Linked DNA regions of Struthio camelus. The protein of the gene in region 2 binds, or shares a complex with, the protein of the main gene of each other region. Links are inferred from orthologs where the notes say so. Each region holds a gene or a part of one and is shown on either strand. Other genes may lie near its edges.

Region 1 (10,458 bases), on a different chromosome or scaffold from region 2:
GCATGAAACACTGGTGACAGCCAGCGTAAATAATCAAACTGCCTCATTAACTGGAAGAGACGCCTCCGCTGTGGGAATATATTCAAGAGAGTTTAAAGGCGGACTCAGCTTCACGGACTTCTCCAAAGGACTTGCAGAGTGCTAGCTAGCCAGCAGAGCAGTTCAAGTGAAGTCTTAAAATCCCCTTGTTGACTGCCGCAAACCTGCTCCTAGAAGACCCTGACAGTCTCTCTGATGTGTGGCACAGGAAGCATAGGAAGGATCAGCAAGAGGCATCTCGAGACTGAGCACTGATAAAAGTCAGAAAACCACGAATCTGAATATCAAACATTTGACCATTTGCTCCGAAGCTGGGAAGGTGGATGCCTTCAGTTAAACTAGGTGCATGGAACGTTCATTCTCTGAATGCAAGATTGAAGGCTAGGAACTTGAACACTTGTACTCTTAATCCAACTAGAAACAGTCCCTGATGCCTTGCAATAGCATAAAGAGAATATTTCCAGATGCTACGTCACTTCTCATGAGAGGGATGATGTCCTGACTGGCAGCAGGATTGACAGGTGAGACGGTCTCTTCAGCTCTATTAGCATTTGATGGCACAGAAAAGTCCTTCCAAAGAAGGTATCATCAAGGCAGCAGGAAACTCTACCCCAATATACTACTCGTTATTGCAGATGGGCCTTGAGGGTGTATCTTATTTTTTCTTTGGAGGAGAAAAGGATGCAAGTTCCTCACAGTGAGGTTACGCTGGTGACTGCAACAGGTTCTGATGCCTAGAACATAGTACTAAAGAGGAGTGACACCCCTGGAGACTGCAGTGAGGATTCCTAGGTACTCCACTGTATCTCTCACTACAGAAGTTTGGTCAAGAACTAGCTCACAGCAGCAGAGACAAAGGTTCCTAAGAAAAGCAGCTCCACATCTGTCTTTATCAAGGTAGTCCATCTTCACAGAGCCCCGCCTCTCTTTCAGTACTTTGTAGCCAGAACACTTATTCTGAGCTAGCCCTTTAGTCTGAGCATCTACCATCTGGGTCATACGCTCCAGGGAGGCTGAGAGAAGATACATGAAGGTCTCATTCCAGCAGGCTACATAGGTCAGAAATACAGTGGGCAGCCAAAAGGTGCAGACTTGGTAGGCAGGTCTTCCTGGGGTTGGTGCCTGTGTATTCATTAAGGCAGTCCCACACAGCAGAAGTCAAGGACTGACTGAGCTCCAAGGTAGAGAGGCTGTTCTCTTACTAACCATTACAACTAATCTTCAGTTAATCACTCAGATTATAGAAAAGCGTACGTCTTCTAGAATATCATCTAAATGTTTGTTCCTTGCCTTTTCAGACAAAACAAACTTCTAGAAGAACAGGTGAATTTTACTCCCGCATGTAAGCTGCAGGCTGGGGATGGGGGCTGACTGAGGTTCAGCTCTCAAGTCATGCTGGAAGTGGTGCAACTGTTGGAAAGATGGTACAGAAGAGATCACAAGCCTGAAAAAAATGGACTTTGGGGATCAGAGTAAAAAGATATCAGAGAGGCCAAAGTCCGTTACTAGTCTCCAACGCAATTTTTAATGAAGATTTATGGCAATAACACTATATAAAAGATAAGGTAACTACAAAGGCATCATCTCCTCCCATAAACTTAACTTCTCATTTATCCACAACTCTTTACCATATATTTTGCTGTTCATCTAAAGTCACATTTTGAAAAATAGAATGGTTTCCCCCTTTCTCAAAGAAGAATCACTTTCTTTCTGATACAGCTTCCCTTATTGCTTGAAGTAAATATTCGTTCTTATCCCCAATAAAACAGTTCTGAAGATTAATTTGACAAAAGTCTAGTTATTTCTAATGTACTTTCCAATTTTGTTAATTACAAACACACCATTTTACAAATACAGGTGTATTTAATGCCTTTAATATCATAGTTCAATCTGCAATACCTCAATAAACTCTACAGCTATTTATATGGGTAGGACTTCTCTTTCTAAGTAGTTTTCATAGTTATCTGTAATAGCTCGTAACATGATTCAGCTCACTTGATTCAACAGCATCCAGTTTCTGGAACGTCCCCAAGATATCCCAATTCAATATTTTGGGTAAGAAATCCCGCAGTTGCATAACCTCCGTTGTCAGCCTTTCCAAATCCCTCCTTTTAACTTTAACGTAGTCGTCTTCTGTGTCAGCCTTCTGAAATGCAAAAAAAGAAGAAAAAAAAAGACACCATTACGGCTTTGAGTGCTCTTTGCTTTGCATCCCTTCTCTCAGAAAAAAAAATATTCCTCTATCATTTCAGAAATTCAGAAACTTACTTAAAAAAGAACTATCCAGTAATAATCTGGACTAAGAGTCTCTGAGATAAAAAGTCTTCAATTTTAACCTGCTTTTTGCCACTGGGGCCTAGAGCAAATCATATTACCTCTCTGCAACAGTTTCTTCATCTAAAATGTGTGTAGCACACCTCAGAACACTGTAAAAATTAATTTGATGTTCACATTTGAAAAACGTAAACAGCTACACATACTCTAAGCCAGGTTTGAGACTATTCTAAGGATATATGTAACTGTTTTCAACTAACTCAAATATTTGCAGATGCTCAGCCATCCTGCTAAATTATAATAGTTCTTTCAGAGAAAATAGTTTTTGTTCCTCACAGAAAATGAATTACTTTGAGAAAAATATCATTTGTGATCCAATCACAAATAAAAGTAATATAATCATGAGTTAAGACAGGAAAGATATGATAACTAATTTTCTCTTGTGCCACACTATTGCCCTAACTTTAAATCTACCGTCCGAGAAAATGAGCATTAATTTTCAAGCAATATAGACGTTTCGGTACCAAAAAACCATCAACTCGCATTTCTGATGTACGTACATGTGCACACTGCTGTATCTTGAAAAGGCTACCGTATATCCACAATTACATACTGAAAGGTTTAATTTATTTTGCCCAAAATATTACATATCCAATATGCTTTCATAAAGCAAAACTACAATATATCACATTACTATTTCTTTTTTTGAGAGCGGTGCAGAAACATTGAGATCCCTTCTGTAAACGATCACATCTTCTCTTTTCAGAGGGAAGAGGATACTGCGGAACTATACAAGAAACAGTCTCCTAAAGACACTAAATGCGCCCTCTCCACATCTCATCCAGCTGCATGAGACAAATTAAGGTCATTAACATTAGTACCTTTTCCAGTTCAACAGAAAATGCCACCCTGGTGTTCCTATCCTTTGTGACCATTTTCTACAATTCTCTTTTGTCTTTTTGCTTCTCTGCTTCCTCACATTGAACATTTCCTTCCATCTTTGCTTGCTAGTCTATTTCTTTCCCAACCCTCTGCCAAATCCAGACATTTCTAGGGATGTAACACACCAGTCCTAGTCTTCCCGGTTCAGAAGACATAGAACAGCAATAAAGACATGGAATAAAGATTTTTATTTTAACCTGGATTGTATACTCTAAGCTGCATTTACAAAGTGCTTACAGTAAGGTTAGGATGGCCAAGTACCACCACACTATAGGATGCAGGAAAAATACAACTCATTCAGGTCTCAGGGACATACTGAATGAGGGCATAAGCACATGGCCACAAGACTCTAGAGGGACAGTACGACTTCTGTGTAAACAGAGGGTCAGACGGGAAGGTCAAAGAGACTATTCAGTATTGTTGAAAATTACAGAGCAACATTTGGTATAGGCATGAAAAATAGCTCTATTCACTAGCATAAGCTAAATCCAAATGAAGTATGCTACCAGAGTATTGGAATTGAGATATGAAATGTATACCATGGAGAAAATCCTAATCTATAGTTCTCAGTGTAAACACAGATCATCTTCGTAATACTGCAGTTCTGGCAGACAAGTTTTATTTTCTCCACTTACGCAGCTACTCAACATCTCCCATACATTACAACAATCAGTTAAAAACAAACATATACCAGTGCCTGATAGCTGACCAGATGTAGGAAATCTGACTTCAGTCCTCACAGATTTCTTGGCCAACGATCAAGTTCGGCCAATTTAGTTTTGTGCCTTGGTTCACAGCCTTTAAGATTTGAACTCCGCTTCCCTGCCCGGCAGGGTGGCTGAACACAGTCACGGAAACCACACCTGTGTTCAACACCCCAGCACATAACCTCCGTCAGCCTATTCTCGAATCTTCATTAGCCCCCAAAGGATGCTGAAGGGGTCACTTCAATTCCACTTACACAATTAGTACAACACGTCTTTCCCCCCCCTCCCTTAAAAGGGAGAGAGGGACCCTCACCCTCTTCCACAGATGTTTTACAAGTCAACGCGAAGTCTGCGCTAGGAGGCATGCTGAAGCGCAGAGGCGTTTTGCGTCACGGGAAGGGCAGGCTGACACGCAGGACCCCCCACCAAACAGTTCACACCGGCCATGAGACTCTAAGCAACGGTGCGAGACGTCCCAGCGGCCGAGCTCCCACGTGTTTTATATCCAACACTGAAAACCGCCACTGCCTGGTATTAGCCCTGCCCTGCCCCGCCGGGCACCCAGCGAGGCCCCCCCCCCTCCGCCGGGCCACCCGTCCCCCCACGGCGCTCGGCTGCGCAGCGCCGTCCCCGCCATCGCCCCTCAGACGCGGCAGCCGGCCCCAACGGCCGCGCACCTTCCCCCCCCCCCCCCGCCCTCCTTCCCGGGGCAGCCGACGCCTCAGCGCCGGCCCGACCCCGCCGCCGGGACTGCCCGGGCTCCGGGGCTGCGGGCACGGGCGGCCCCGGCTACCTGCGCCTCGCCCGCCAGCCCCGCGCGGCGCCTCATCGCGCCAACCGCCGCCTCGCAGGCGGGCGGGCGGGCGGGGGCTGTGACGTCGCGCTGCGCCAGGCCCCCCGCGCGCCGCCCTTCCGGGCGCGGCGGTTGGAGCGGCCGGGGGGGGGGGGGGGGGACACGGCGGCGGGGGGAGAGGGGCTCGGCGGCGGCGAGCAGGCAGGGCTCGCCGAGCTGGTCCCCCGCCGCCTGGCACTGCGGGCGGTTCAGGGGTTCTGCCTGAAGTCCTCACTACGTGAAACGGCGCTGTCCTTCGCGTTTAAACTGCCCGTTACATATAGTCACCTGCGCCATGGGACCCAGCAGCCCTAATCTGCCCTCACGGCCTGTGCTCGTGGTGTCAGCTGTTCTTTACAAACTTCGTACTTACCTTTGTGCCGCAATAGGAAGTTTAGTCTTGCCAGCCCCTTCTTGGAGGCTTTTTCTGTTGTACCCACTTTATTTTTTTTCGTTGAGTATCTTCTGCTATATAATTTTTGAGATAGCGGTTGAGTACACAATACTTCTGACCACACCGCTTTATATATAAACATTACAAAATTCCCCACAGTTTTCTCTATTCCTTTCTTTACATGTCTGAACACCTTTGTTTGTTGCAATGCTCCTGAGGAGTGAGCAGCAAGAGCTGTTACACTGTTCACAGTGATGTCCGTGTCTTTTTCCTCAGCAGATACAGCTAATTTGCCTTTTGATAGGATGCTGAGTTTGTACGATTTCCTTCCATATTGTAACACGGGATGTTCACTGCTGTCTCCTTGCCTGTTGGTCCAGCTTTTAAACACCGCTCTGCAGCACGCTCTGGTGCTGGCTAACCTCGACGCTGACGTGTCTGCCGCTTTCTCACACCACTCATAAATATAGGAAATGGCGTGAACACCGATGTTCCCTGCCCTTGGCCCTTTCCGTGGTGATGAAAACCGGGCGTATCGTACCACGCCGCCAGGGAGCAGCGCAGACCGGGCGCTCCCGAAGCAACAGGGAGGCAGCTGCGCTAAGATGGCCGCCAGGGCCCAGCCTGGCCCGTCCCCCTGCCCCGGGGAGCACGGCCCCCGGGCGCAGCCCTAGCCCCGGCTGGGGGGCGTCAGGCACCGCTGCGGGGCCAAGCCGGAGCCGTAGGGACGGCGACAGGAGCAGGGTCGGGGGTCCCGTGGGCAGGGGCAGGGCCGTGGCGGGGCCAGCGTCGCAGGGCAGTGACTGACGGCCCCAGGCTGGGCTGAGATGGGGGCCCAGGGAACCACGAGGGCTGCCGGGGCCCCCCAGGGCCAAGGCACACGCTTTGCTTGCTTTCTTCTGCCTAGTTTTTGGTCTACGACAAACTTCTGCCTTTCTGTGATTTCTTAGCTTCTTTTAATGGTTGCTTGTGCTGGCGTTATGTCAAGGCTTTTTGAAAACCTCTCAGCCTGTTCTGTTTCGTCCATCACATTACTGATAAATTTTAGAACTGTAAGAGATTGGCGTGATTTTTTTTTTTTTTTTTGCAGAAACCATGCTTAAAAATCATCTAGAAATGTTCTTACTCTTATTTTCAATTACTATTTCAACCAATTAATAAGCCAGTCTGCAGGTTTATAATTCCCCAGTTGCCCATAAGACACGTTTTCAAATATTGGTACAAGCCTGGCAGAACAAAGAGCACCATTAAGCGCCTTAGAAGTTGTACAGATGCTGTCACTTTATACTCTAGTCAAGTTTAAAAAAACATACAAGTTTTCTTAAATACCACTTCTGTTTTGGGGCATTTTGTGTCCATGAATTTCTGTCATTAAAAAGATATTTTGCTTTCCTGTGGCTTTTGAAAAATACCACACAAGCAGTAGATAAAGGCAAATCTGCCGTCTCCTTCTGAAGCACTTGGGCTTTCTGTGGACATAGGAATCGGAGGATGTGGAACAGCTTCAAGAACTGGGGGCCTATCCAACCACATGCCGTGTTGTGAAGCGTACAGAGTGAGAAAACCTTAGAAAGCATCCACTCTAATTTTTACTGACCCTAGAAATTTAAGTTATAGTAAATGAAAGCACACTGGAACACGACGTTTTTATAAACAATTCTGTGTTAAAGTGGTGATAGTATTTCATAAGATCTATGAGATCAACATTTCCTCTTACTACAAGCACCAGAGCTTCCAGCTTCACGTTGGCTGCAGTCTAGCACGAAGGCCCAGATTAACAAAACTCACTATAGAACTAGGTTCAGGTAAGTAAAAACACCTTGCTACTGCCTTACCTGCTCAGGGACACAGTTAAGCAGTCATTTGTGAAACTGATCTTTCGTTGTCGATCATCCTCAAGATCTTTGATCTTTCATGCTCCCAAGCATTTTAATTCTTCAGAAAGGTTTCAATACTTTATTTTTTAATATAGTTCAGTACAAATGTGTATCTGGTAGGATAGTTAAAGAGTCTGGGAAAAGACATGTGGCATCTCCATTTCTTTGAGAGTGCTGATGTTTGTGATACACTAGTTACAAACTTTTTCTAGACTTTACTCTTGAATGACATCATGTTGAATACAGAAATAGGAGAGGATTCAGTTTTTTTAGAAAGACCGTTTCCTTTGCATGAAGTCAATTTTTCACTCCTTCAATGTTTTGAATTTTAAAGATATTGTAACATTATGAGACAAGGCGGTCGACTGCGTTAAGTCACTGCACTAAGAGTTCGGAGTTCTAGGTTTTGCCAAACTTCCTCTTGGGGAAACGCAGGCAGAAAAGCTCTACCAGCGCAGGTCCGGCCTACTTTTCCTGCCGTTGCAGCATCCCCGTTTGTAACAGAGAAAAAGGTGAACCCCGTATGCGCGTGCTGGATGCCCGGCCGTCGTTCACCGTGAGCGTGCTCTGCACGTTTAAACACTGAATTCTGGGGGTGCTTATTCCTGGGGGACTTCAGATTTGTCACCAGAAATAAAAAGCCACGAAACTCAACCGCCGCGCTGGGTCTATGGGTTGCACCGCTCCCCGCAGAGCCCAGGCGGGCAGCGCGGCGCCCGGACCCAGGTGCCACCTCCCTCCCTCCCTCCCTCCCGCCACGGCGCGCGCGACGCGCAAAGCGTGCGCCGGGGGCGCTGGTGACGCCATCGGGCGGCGCCCGGCAGGAGGGGAGGAGAGGGGAGGGAGGCGGCCGCCGCCTCCGTGGGGCGCGGAGACCATGGCTCCCGCCGCGCTGCAGGCGCCCGAGATCCAGTTCGCGCAGCGGTTGGCCGCCAACGAGAAGCGCGTCCGCGACCGCGCCGTGAAGAAGCTGCGGGGCTACATCAGCGTCCGGACCCAGCGCCCGGCCGGTAGGGCCCAGGCGGCGGGCAGGGCCCGGTCCGGTCCGGTCCGGTCCGGTCCGGTCCGGTCCGGGGGCGGCGGGGTGCAGCGCTGGGGCCGGGGTCCAGGCCCAGGCGGCGGCGGCGCTGCTCAGGGCCGGCGGTGCCGCAGGGAAAGCGGCGCCTGTTTGAAACGTGCCGGCATGGCGGGGGAAGCACGTGTGGAGGGAGGGCCGGGCGCTGCCTCCTGCCTTCCGGGGTCTGGTCTGTCACCACAGTGCCGCTAGTTTGTTTTATTGTTATTATTATTATTTTAATTTTTACCCGTGTGTTTTATCACAGCAGGCGTTTTCGGTGGTGAGTCCGCAAGCGCCGAGCTCGTTACCGCCGGCCCCGAGCGGGGCAGGAGCTTTCTGGGCCTCGCTCATGCGGTTTCCCCGCGGTGGCTACGGGCGAGCCGGGCTCCGTGCCCCGTCAGAGGGACGGCGGCCCCAGGCAGGACCTGTTTGGCGGGGGGGAGTGTTGGTGGCGGCAGGGACATCGGCAGGTGCGAAGCGATGCAGCTCAAGGCCGCTCGTTCACGGGAACAGGATGTAAATGCAGTGAGCGGAGCTGGACTGAAACAATCCCAGTGCATGGAGTGTATAGTTTTTATTCAGTGCTACGTTGACTGGTGAGACACTGACTGCTTGGTTTTGTAGCTGAGATTCAGGAGCATTGAAGTGAATTGAGGAAAGCTCAGAAAGGTTTTAGTGGTTGCATAATTGCAAGAAATTCATAGTTACCTGTTCAGATTATCCAGGTCGCTTGTTATCTCTGTATCCATGGTATCAATAGTTTTATTACAACAGAGTTTATTCGCTTTCACAGAGCTCTGTACTGCTGCCTTAGAACTCGGACAGCTTGGGTCCAGCTACACTTACTGGCCTTGGCCTTGCTAGTCTGAAGCACTCTGTGCCTTAGGATGCCTGCTATAGGAGGCTCAGGAGGTCAGTCATAGCACTGTGTGAATGCATGGATCCAGCTCAGTAAACTCTCCTTCTGCAATGATAAGGGAGCACAGCGTGGAGATGTCTAAAAGACTGAGCTTTCTGGTTTGCATTCTTCAGGGCACTATGTCGCAAGCTGGATGCGATACAGGAGTTGAACTGGTTAGGTGCATTGCAGAGCACTGTGTCTGACGTAGTAAACCTTCCCACAGTATTTGGGAACATGGTACTGAGATGTATGTGTACGTGTTCCATTCGATTTGGAAAGCCAGCCTGGCACCCCGAGAGCTAAACTGAAACTAGAAGGCTGGTTGAACTCAAGTTAATTCCTTGCAAAGCTGCTGGGGGCTATAGGTTGTTTTCTCCCTTTTCCCTCTTCCCTTTCCAAATAACATTTGACATAGTGGCTGATCTTGGCCTCATCTGACAGAGGCGAGAATACATAAGAACAGCCTTACTGGGTCAGACTAGAGGGCCAGGTAGCCCGTTATCCCATTTCTGGCAGTAGCAATAAATCTGGGGGATGTGTAGGGAATAGTAAGAACAAGCAAAATGTACATTATATTCCTCCCAAGCGTTTTCTGACCCTCCAGCTATTTTTGGCTCTGGAAACTTCCTAAGCTGGATGTGGTTTCTGTGTATTCGGTAGTGCTCTGTGCCTCTCATTGCAAAGTGCAGATTCCTGTAAGTTTGTGAAAGTTACCTGCCAGGTGGTGAGGAGAGTCCCTTTATAGGGTATCCTAATTGAGGGAAAAGGTTGCAGTGTAAGCTAATGCCCTAACACATTGGGAAACCACCACAGGGAAATTGTCTGTTACAAGGTGAACATTTTGCATGTTAAAGTCAACCCACCATGAAATGCAAATGAGTAGGAAACCAGGGTGATTAATTTGCAGTGCTTCTAAATTTACTTGCTTTAACGTACAATTCAAACTAATAATATTAGAACAGTAGCTAACTTCTTTGGACTTGGGAAAGAAGCCTTATGTTCAGGATAGAGGCTTTTTTAAAGTAATATTTGAATTAGCAGATTTATTTCTATGCATCCCTCTGCCAGAGGGGAGGCTCCCAAATCAACATGAACAATCAAAAACATGTTAACTTTTGAAGGAGCAGGTGGAGTTATCAGTGACATTCGCCTCAGTGAAATGTTGCATAGCCCTTGGTAGGCATTCTTCCTGTCTGTCCCGTATGGTCTGTGCTAAGTTTGCATCATGGGTCATGTTGTGGAAACTTCTTTGAAGAGCTAAAGCCTTCTTGATTTTTAAACACAAAGTTATATTCTGTAGAAAGCATAAAGCTACTGAAGCTCTGAAACCATTGTGTGTGCAGGTGAACCTGGATGAGTACATTATTACTTAATCTGTTCCTTTTTTTTCTTGTTAACTCATTCTTCTTAAAATCTTTACCTTGAAAGAGAAAGT
Region 2 (9,695 bases):
TGATATTCTTCATTCTGAGGCAAGTTTGAGGTTTATCTAGCTCCTCGCAAAGACTTCTCTGACGCTCTGGAGTTGCCACTGAGTGATCCTCTTCCATTTTGACCACAATTAAATTTGCCTGTTCAGATGCCTCTGCCTGAGACTTTGCTTTCTGGGTAACTGCCTCTGATGGCTTCTGTTCTAGACTGATATCCATATTTTGGGTATTACAGACTATTATTTCCTGAAATAATAAGGTGCATGCATCATTAATGCCTTAAAAAATAGCTATTTTTGGTTTTGTGTTTTTATAAAAAGCAGCGCTTACTCCATTCGGTATAAATACCAAACAATTTACAGGAACCACCTACTGAACTCTGAGAGCTCTAACAAAAGTCACATTCATACAGCAGGATGTGACAAAGCCAGAAGGTCTTACTGCTCTGTTCTGCAACGTAGCAACAAGAAGTAGCTTTAAATTGTATAGTTTATTAACAACAACAAAAACAAACCTGTCCATAGGAAGATGGTTAACTGGGATGCACCATTTTACCTGTTCTGTTCGACTCCTCGGAGCGACACCGTTGTTTCGCTTCCGTTTCTCCGCCAGAGCCTCCTTCGGCCTTGTGAAGACTGGCACAAACTTCCCTGCTGACTTCTACAGCCAAGGGCAATAGTGATGAGTGTGAGGAGCAGTTACTCCCCGGGGGACCGAGCAATCCAACATCCTGAGCACCATGCCCAGTCTTCCCAGCTCAGCAGCTCTCAATATCGATTAGAAAGACAGCGAGGGGATGACCTCATCCGGCTTATAATCCTATCTGGGTAGACACTGCAAACCATCCCCGAGAAGCTCACAATGTTATGTCAAGCCTGAAGCTTAGAGGTTTTCTTTCTCGATTTAATAGAGAACAAGCTGAACCCTTAAAATTCTGGGAAATGCTTTCTGCAGTTTGTACATATTTGAAATGCATTATTTTACACTGTAACAATGGATTAAATTAGGTGCATTTTAATAACACACTTCAGTTTTGCAGTGAATGCGGGGTTTCAGTTAAACCCACTTTTTTCAGGTGCAATTTGTTGTCATGTGCTCATTCCAGAACTTTGGCAACGCTGCTGCGTGCCCTAGGGTATACATTTGAGGGAGATATGCTGGCAGCGTTCAAGCAGCTAAAGTGAATTTGTCCACAGAGGAAAAACAGCTACACAAAGGCAAATCTAGCTATGCTGTGGAAGGAATTTCCTGCCAGCTGAATGCTTAGACAGTATCGAGGAGATCGCAGTGCAGCACGCTGCTACTGGCGGTCTCGGGCAGAACCTTCAAAGCAGACTTACCTGAGATAAAGAAATTGAGGTAAACTGCTTCGCCTGACTTCGCTCCGCAGCAGTCTTCTCTCCTTCATCGTTTGAACTATTAAAGAGAATACAATAGCGTGCACGTCTAGCTAGTGTCAACGTGTTATCTTGGGGTAAGTCATAATCGCCTTGATTGGGGCTGCGTCTCTGTTTTACAGGACGCGAGCTCTGTGGGTTATATCGCCCTACAAACTCACGTTCTGGTGATTTCCAAGTTACATGGCGCAAACTCTGTTACCTTGCTTGCGAGTTTGCTTCCAAACTTTCAGTGCTTCCCGGGTCCTTCTCTTCCCGTTCCTCTGCCCCTCCCGCGGTTGGCTTTGATTTGCCTTCAGAATCCATGATTTGGGTCTGTCCTGTCAGGTCTAAGCCCTCTGTCACCTCAGGATCTTCCCTAAGTCTTTTCATTTTGGAAACACTGCACTTGCTGTCTCCTCCTTTTAAGGGAAAAAGTCATTAGAAAACAGCCTTGGCAGTAAGAGTGACTAGAACAGAAAGAACAAGGTTGTAGAGCTGTGTGGTAAACTGTCAAGTAGCAGCAACAATTTTATCAAAACCTATGAAAAAAACCTGCCTGAAGCTTAAAGTACTATCCACCCCTGGCCTACAGGTTGCCCATGTAGGTTTTGCATTAATTCCTGTTACTAAATCCTATGAAAACGCTTGAACTAAGGAAGCTTTTAAAATCTGCTAGCAACACAAGGCCTATCACAAACTCTTGGTAAGTTCCGACTTCGGTGGAGGCACTGGGGCACAAGCACCTTTGTAAAATACTAACCTGACTTTTAACAATAAAAACACCCATAGCAGATGAGGAAGATTTTGCCCTGGTCAGATTTACCAGTATAAACACCCAAAGGTTGTTCTTTCTGAGGACAACAACGTCCTGAGGCTGCAGACGTCTGCCGCTCTGGACGGACTTTGGGTGTTGCTTTGGTGGAGAGGAACAGAAATTAAACGAGAAATCCTAAGAAACCCTGCGTTACCATAGCCCCCGTACAACAGGGCGGCCTCAGGTATTTTGTTTGTAGGAAGCTTCAAGTATGTTTCTAGTGTTAAAAGTTAATTACAGCGGTCAAACTCCAGTGCTCTTTTCTAGGTTAAATCAGTATTTTATTAATCAAAATCGGTGCTAAATGAGATGTAACGTTTAATCTGAATGCTGCCAGCTGAAGCACTAGCAATCCTCCACCTACCGAAGAGCGGTATAACCCAAATTGCTCACTGATGGTGCCAAACAGCATAATTTGACAAAACGCTGTGTCTGTGTGGATTAGTCAAGTACTACTCAGGGGAGGAAGCTGTGCCTAAAGCAGCGTTGTAGACAGCCTTAAATATTACCATTCACATACATAAGCATAGATTTGTGTTATCGTCCTGTGGATACGCTTTTCGCCTTGGCTCTCCGCTTCCACACAGTGGCGTAGTGCAGGATAAACAGAATCGGAGCCTTTGCCTTTAGCGTTTGCAGCCTGTTATCGAGGTGTTTACGCTGAAATCCATGCCCCCCTACCAAGGGCGTTCTGAGAGCGACGCTCAGATGCCGCCAGACCCTTTCGAAGCACCTTTTTCCTTCCCTCTCCACCAAAGCGGAAAGGCTCTGGCAGCTCTCGCCGATTCCAGACTGCGTTTCAAACGGCTCGTCCTGCTGTGCCTTGATTTTTAAAGCTGCCGCATTTACGGATTCTTCAAAGTCTGCTGAGTTAGGTGGGGAGGGGAGGAGAAGAGGCCTGTTTCCAAAGAGTCGTAGATTGTGCACCCTGCTTGAAAAGCTCGTCAAATCTAGTCCCTTTATTACCCGCCGCGCTAAGAGGCATCATGCCAGAGTCCCTCCTGAGATCCTACGGAGGAAGAACAACTGCAATCAAGAGAGACAGCAGGACGGCAGAGTGCAAATGGTGGCTCGTCTGTTCCGAAACAAGGAGAAATGGGGTATGCTACACAACGGACAAACTCCTGCAGTCTCGGGGGGAGGCCTACCACGAAGCCTCATGCAATATTTATTGGAACAGCACAACAAACAAAGCGACGGGAGTGACTGTGTGATACAGGGACAGGAGAGGTGTAGTGGCTGCTGTTCCCTGCCTTGTCACCAGCTGGGGTGGGGGGGGGGGGTCGTGTTGTTTTTTCCATCTGCAAAATGGGGCTACTAACCCATGTTTTCCTCAGCATTGTAGCAAGCCGAAGTGACATTCGGGAAGCGCTTTGCTATGTTGAGATAAAAGCCGCTTCGAAAGCGTTGTACGTGGGTGTTTTTGTAGCAAGCACCAGTAAACTATGGAAACGCAGAGAGCAGTTTGGGGGGAACTTTGGTGAAACAGGTGTGGGAAAGGTAACAGTTTAAAGGTGATGTTAGACGTCAGTTTGCTCACGCTTTGAGAAATGTTTGCAGATGCAGCATCTACATACTAATTAAGCGCCTGGGTAGTTTTAGACGTGCAATCTCTCTCTTACTACCAAGTATAACGAACGAGACTTGAAATAATTTGGTTAGGCTCCTTGACAGCTAGACCGCTTCTTTACGAGGGGGCACTGGCATCTGTCAAACACCGTCACACCGTCCACGTGTAGCAGCGAACGAGCCCCGGAGCTCGTGTCGTTACCTGATCGTTGGTCGTTCTTCCTTTTACTCATCTTACTGCCCTCCTGAGTGGGAAAAACAGATGAGAACACTCAACTACTGGCCTTACAGCATCTTGAAAATGTATTTTGCCTTCAGCGTTGACCTTTTCCTTTAACATAATTGCGCATCGCTCCGGCAAACCCCGTTTTGCAGTGCCTGAGGTGGGAAACGCCGGTGACGCTGTGCGGTCGTCCCAGTGCCTCCCCCTTTAATCGCACTCTCCCACAAGCAAGTTAACGCGCAGGAAGGATTTTAGGCCCATCCACAGCCGTGAACCACCCCCCCCCCGCCCGCCCGCCCGGTTGTACACTCTCCAAAGAGCCAAAAGCATCAAGTCAGGGCGCTGCAGACCCCAGGCTGCACCCCAGCGCTTTTAGTCGGGGCGCTAGCGCCTTGTTGACGAGGAAGGATTTGGAAGAGCGCCGGGCTCGTGGTGGCAGCCCCCCCTCCCCCCCGGGCTTCATGGCTGCCCGTGGCCTCTGGCGACAGGGCCGGGCTTCGCTTGCCAGATGCCCTTGCTCCTCACGGAGAGGGCCTCCAGGCGGCACGCCGGCGGGCTGCTAATGGACACTGCTCCCCGCAGCCTCCGGATTCGAGGGGAAAAGGGGGGGAAAAGAGGGGGCACGTTCCCTCCTCGGCCCCCTCAGGGGGACCCGCCATGGCCGCCGCCGCCCTTCACCTCAGGGCGCCGCCAACGGCTTTTCCCGCCTTTTCCCTGAGCCCCGCCCACCTCCCCGTGCGCATGCGCATCCCCCCCCTCTTCTCAGCGCGCGTGGGCTTCTGGGAGTTGTAGTCTCCCCACCGGGCCGGGGGGGCGGCCGGCCATGTTGCGCCACCGCCTCGCTTAGCGGCGCCGGGAGAGGAGCGGGGAGGGGGAGTGTCGTAAAGCGAAGGAGGAAGGTGGGGCTTGGGTTTTTTTTCTTGCGACAGCGGTGCCGCAAAGCGCGGCGTGTTGTTGACAGCCGCCCGGGCGGAGCTGGAAGTGAGTGTGAGAGGGCGGGGGGGGGGGCCGAGGCCGAGGCCGGTAAAGCCGCCGGTACCGGGGCTCCCGGCGGGGTCTGGAGCCCCGAGGAGCGGGCAGGGCCGGGGGGGAGGCGGTTGGGGGATCGTTTGTGGGGAGGGAGGGGTGGGGGGCGCAGGGTATTGGGGGGGATGTGAGGGGAGTGGGGGTCTTGTGGGGGGCTCTAGGGAGGGGGAGTCTGTGGGGAAGGGGCTGGAGGGGGTTTGGGGGGATTTTGGGGGGGATGAGGGGGTTATAGGGAGGGTGTAGAGGGGCTGGGAGGGTTGGAGGGGGGCTTGGGAGGCTTACAGAGCGGGGCTGAAGGAGTTATGGGGGGGTGAGGGGACTTATGGGGGGTCAGGAGGGCTTATAGAGAGTTTTGGGGGGGTTTATAGAAGGGTTTGGGGTGGGATAAGGGCTCTGGGTGCCAGGAGGCAGTACCCCAGGGTGTTTGCAGGGGAGGCCCTTGGCTGTAGGGGGCTGGCAGATGAGGAAAGTCACATAAGATGGGGGGGGAGTTCTGTGGGGGGCTGAGCCCGAAGGGTGGCTGGAAACAGGGGTCGAGTCCATCCGGGGTGCAGGGACAGTACCCGAGGGGCCCCCTCGCACCCTGCGACCCCCTCGCTCACAGGCCGCTTCCCTCCAGCTCTGTCTGAAGGAGGAAAAGAGGGATGAGTAAAACCAGGAGGCCGCCTCCGCCGCCGGGACGTGGCGGCACCGCCGCCGTCAGGCAGGTACGTCGGGGCTCCGGCCCGCCGCCTCCCGGCCCCCCTTCCTCCGTCTGCTCCAGGCTGAAGCAGGGTGCGCACCTGCAGTTACGCCTCCGCCTGCCCAGGAGGGAGAGGTCACTGGCGTAAAGATCCTTTAAACAACCAGAGGGAAACCTGAGGCCTCCTGACCACACCTTCCGCACAGGGAAGCTCTGGCGTGCGTTACGCAAGACTCAGATCTGAGCAGCCGCAGTTTCTGGGGGGACTTTGTTTAAACTGGGCAGTTCTTCCATTAAGCAGGTGCCGGCCGCGGCTTCCTTGTACGCACAGCGTTCGTAGTGACGCTGGTCGTTCCAGGCACGGGTCTCCGTCGTGGATCCGTTGGGAGAACCGAGCCGCCTGTATCCTCGTTGCCTGTCTTCTGGGATTTGTTTTTGCTTTTCTAAGCTGGATCAGCAGCTTTGTCAGTGTGCAGCCTCGCTGGTCGTTGAGCCAGTGTTAATGCAGGGCGCAACGGGCTGGTCCCCAACCGTGGGACGCGTCGTCCTCCCTCAAGCCCGATCCCAGAGGATCGGCATCAGCTAGTCGGCGTCGCTGCTGCCTCTGCCAGGATCGTTCGGGGCAGCTGCTTTTTCTCCCCCACAGGTGCCTTTGCTGATGGACTTCTCTCCGGAGGGGATGATGGCAAACGATGCCGGGGACGATGCGGCCGACCTGGAGGCAGAGCTGCTGGCTATTGTGGGAGGCCAGCCTGATCCGAAAGAAAAACCCAAGGGGAAAAGTAAGTGGCCCAACCTCGTGGGAAGGATATATCTGCCTGGGGGGACCCGTCTGCTGGGAATTTCTCTAGCTGGTTGATGATGTGCCATGTGGAAAATGACTCACGGTGGTTTGTCTCCTGCCTGATGAGTTTGCGTGACCCTCTCCGGGCCGGACTTGCTGCCCTGCCTGGTTTTCCTTGGCTTTCCGGACGCGAGCCTAAGCCATGGTAGGAAACGGTTGTGAGACACAAACACCAGACGCGCTGCTTCTCCCTCTCCAGCACCTTTGCCGATGGAAGCGATCGAGAGAATGGCTGCTCTCTGCATGAAGGACCTGGACGAAGAGGAGGGAGGGGATGAGGAAGATCTGGAAGACGAAGATGATCTCATGGTATTCAGGGCTCTGCAGGCAACGGGAGGTCTGGTGGTTTATTCCTTGCCAATTGGTGTCCTGCACAGGACAGGAGGGGTTTTGGGAGAGCGTCCCTGTGCCCTGGCTCTTCCTTGGCCCTTATCCCCCTTCCCTGTATTAGCTTTTCCTTGCTCCATATGCTTTGGGATCAATGGGATGCGTTTTCTCCAGAAGAGATTTTTGGCCCCGGTTTATCATTAACGGAATTCCTGCTGTTGGCTTGTAGGCAGAGCTCCAGGAAGTACTCGGCGAAGGGGAAGAGAGAGCAGATGCCCCCATAACTACTGCAAAGGTAGGAAACTCGTTCTTCTGCTTTGCTTCCTCTTCTACCCCTGCTGCTCCTGGTGTGGGAGCACTTCTACGTCCACAGTGTCATCTGTTGGATCTCCCCGACAAGTAAATGTGACTCCGTTGCACAAAAGTTTGATGGAAGATAGGGAGGACGGAGTTCACAAACTGCGGCCGTGCTAGACCTGTTTTGACCCAAGCTTGTGAAAAACAAAGGGCCGAACAGCTGTGTCTGCGCTGACCCCTGGATCGGGGCGGGTATCGGCCGCGAGGAAGCCCGGATCCTGTGTCGTTGTCATCTAGTTGGGGGTGCTCAGCACGCCTTCTCCTTTGGGCTCCCGCAGGTGGGTGAAACGCCTCCCGAGTCCGGCAGCATCGAGTCTACGCTGGCAGAGAGGGTGGACATGTACCAAACGGCCATCGCCAATGCCAAGCAGGCTGGAGACAGCTCCAAAGTGCGCCGCTACGAGAGAGGCCTCAAGGTGAGCCTGAAACAGCGTGCTGGAGCAGCACGCTGCTGGCCAGCGGCTTGGTAACAGCTGCTCCCTTGGGGGGCTAAAGAGAAGTCTTTTTTGCTTAATCTGTAGTTACGTGAAACCCGTTTGATCTTAAATTCGCCGCTGAGCGTGGCCGGTGTTCCCATGCTCCAGGATTTTGCGCTTACGTCTGTGTTAAGGCCTGTTTTCCCCACAGTGGTGAGCGCTTCTAGCTCCCACTGCTTCAAGAAGAAGCAGAAATTATTCAGACTTCTTGGAAAATCAGGTCGTTCTAATTCCAGCGCCTAATTGTGGGCAATAACATAACCTGAGGAACAAGTGGATGCTGCAATGTGTGCTATAACTATCTCTGAGACTGTGTTATGCACAGAGGTCTCTGGCACAGCCCTAATCATCTTATTCTGCTGCAGGCTTGGCTTTTGGCTAACACACAGCCTCATGGTCCTGATGGCTTGCGGATGCTTAAAGCCTGTGAGAAGTCTGAGGACTTTTGTTTTTTAATTTTGAGCACCAGCCTGTTCTTTTTAGTTTGTTTTTTTTTTCCTCTGGCTGATTTCTACCTTGTTTAAGTCTTTTCTGCCACGTTAAAGTTTTTTTTTCATGCACCTATCTGTGTTGTCAAGGGCAGACCTTCCTCTTTCCCTTGGGTTTTGTCCGCTAGCAGAACACCATAGCGCGTGGAGCGTGTTAGCCTGCCTGTCGCGCAGGCTGGGGGAGCGTGGCACTGCTCTTCCAAAGCAGGTATGCAGCTCAAGGTGCTCTCTGTTCTCTGGAAACGTGAGAAAGTGAGGAAGTTGCAGAGTCGGGGAATGGCTTCCTAATCAGTGAGCCCCTTTGCCCTGTTTCAGGCCATGTTTGGCTGTTGTTTTTAAGCAGATACTGTTTTTTTCCCACCTTAGGGGGTTTTGCTGCAGTCCCGGCAAATTCCGAAGTTTCTCTTTTCATAGCCGAGACAGAGAAGGATCAGAAGCTGATGATTTTCTTTGTGTGCGTGTTCTTTTTCAGACACTAGAGAACATGCTGACCTCTGTGAGGAAGGGAAAAAAGATCGACGAGGAGGAAATCCCACCACCGGTGGCTCTGGGGAAGAGTGTGAGCTCCCAGCAGCCCTCTCCTTCTGCAGCGGTGTCACCCCTCCATGGCTCCGTGCCCGCCTCAAGCCCTGGCTCACCCCCGCCTCCTGTGCAGCCGCCTGTTGTCTCTCCTCCCAAACCCCTGCCCACGTTGCAGCCGCCTCCTGTGCTCCCAAAGCCTCAGGTCTTGCCCAGCCCCGCTTTGCCCACCAGCTCTGCAGAGAAAAAAGCACTTTCTCCCTCACTGTCTCCACATCCAGGTGAGGCCTTGGCTTGTTCTGCTTCGTGGTGGGTCGCTATATCCTGCTGCTGAGGAGGGAAACCCTCCCGAAGCCCAGCGACTCTCCTCTCTGCCTCCCCAGGTTCCGGCCGGGCCAGCACTGAGGCTCTGCTGCAAGGCCGGCAGCGGGAGTACAAGCTCGCAGCCCTGCACGCGAAACAGCAGGGAAACGTGGAGATGGCCACGAAGTACTTCCGCGTCGCTAAGGTGTGTGGCGCCTCTCTGGGTGGCCAGAGAGGCCTGAATTTCTCCTGCCTATGAAATATTAAGCAAACTGCCGCCTTTCTTGGTGTCTGTAGTAAAACAAGGGTAAATCTGGCTGGCAGGGGCTGTCTGCAAAGCATGTCATGAAATGTCTATTTGAAAAAAAGTGAGAACTGTGATCTTTCTCTGGTGCTTTTTCAGAGCTTTGACTCCCTGTTAGAAGCTTTGGGGAAGGGCCAGCCGGTGGATCCGAGCAGCGTGCCCCCTCCTCCCGGTAAGGAGGGAAAGGTCGCTGAAGAGCAACGCCTTGTCCAGCTGGGGCCTGCCCTGCCTGGAAGGACTGACGCTTTGGCTGGAGACCCCTCTGGAAGGGGGGCTTCCAGGTCCGGCTCCCTGCTTGCCTCTCGCCTTTTGGCGTGCCTGGGGAAGGGCAGCCGTTTCCAAGTTTGGAAGGTGCCAGCAAACCGCAGGGGCGTTGCTGCATGATACCGCCTGCACCGGGCTCCTTC

Evidence for each region.
Region 1: the proteins of BRME1 (region 2) and HSF2BP are in contact, whole or in part, in a crystal structure (PDB 7Z8Z), measured with the Mus musculus proteins. The link is inferred for Struthio camelus from reciprocal best matches to the Homo sapiens genes BRME1 and HSF2BP. Residues at the interface, in NP_083321.2 of Mus musculus: Met541, Gln542, Asp543, Ala544, Thr545, Val548, Arg549, Leu551, Val552, Leu555, Ser556, Asn559, Ile562, Met563, Thr565, His566, Leu569, Lys573; in NP_083178.1 of Mus musculus: Glu23, Phe24, Val25, Lys26, Val27, Arg28, Asp31, Leu32, Arg34, Leu35, Glu38, Val39, Gln41, Ile42, Phe45, Leu46, Arg48, Ile49, Glu53, Leu54.

What each region holds. Positions count from the first base shown.
Region 1 is NC_090942.1:125,684,676-125,695,133, forward strand, and holds the start of HSF2BP (heat shock factor 2-binding protein), read right to left. Parts: upstream 4,822-10,458; 5' UTR 4,792-4,821; coding exon 4,756-4,791; intron 4,474-4,755; exon of another isoform or gene 4,276-4,473; intron 3,159-4,275; exon of another isoform or gene 3,008-3,158; intron 2,186-3,007; coding exon 2,035-2,185; intron 1-2,034. Other genes in the region: RRP1B (ribosomal RNA processing protein 1 homolog B), read left to right, coding at 7,943-8,075, 8,388-8,402. UniProt on the Homo sapiens protein: Meiotic recombination factor component of recombination bridges involved in meiotic double-strand break repair.
Region 2 is NC_090972.1:4,485,977-4,495,671, forward strand, and holds the start of BRME1 (break repair meiotic recombinase recruitment factor 1), read right to left. Parts: upstream 3,973-9,695; coding exon 3,942-3,972; intron 1,776-3,941; coding exon 1,577-1,775; intron 1,394-1,576; coding exon 1,318-1,393; intron 638-1,317; coding exon 533-637; intron 224-532; coding exon 1-223. Other genes in the region: CC2D1A (coiled-coil and C2 domain-containing protein 1A), read left to right, coding at 5,633-5,695, 6,317-6,452, 6,714-6,823, 7,071-7,136, 7,477-7,614, 8,635-8,962, 9,065-9,189, 9,388-9,460. UniProt on the Homo sapiens protein: Meiotic recombination factor component of recombination bridges involved in meiotic double-strand break repair.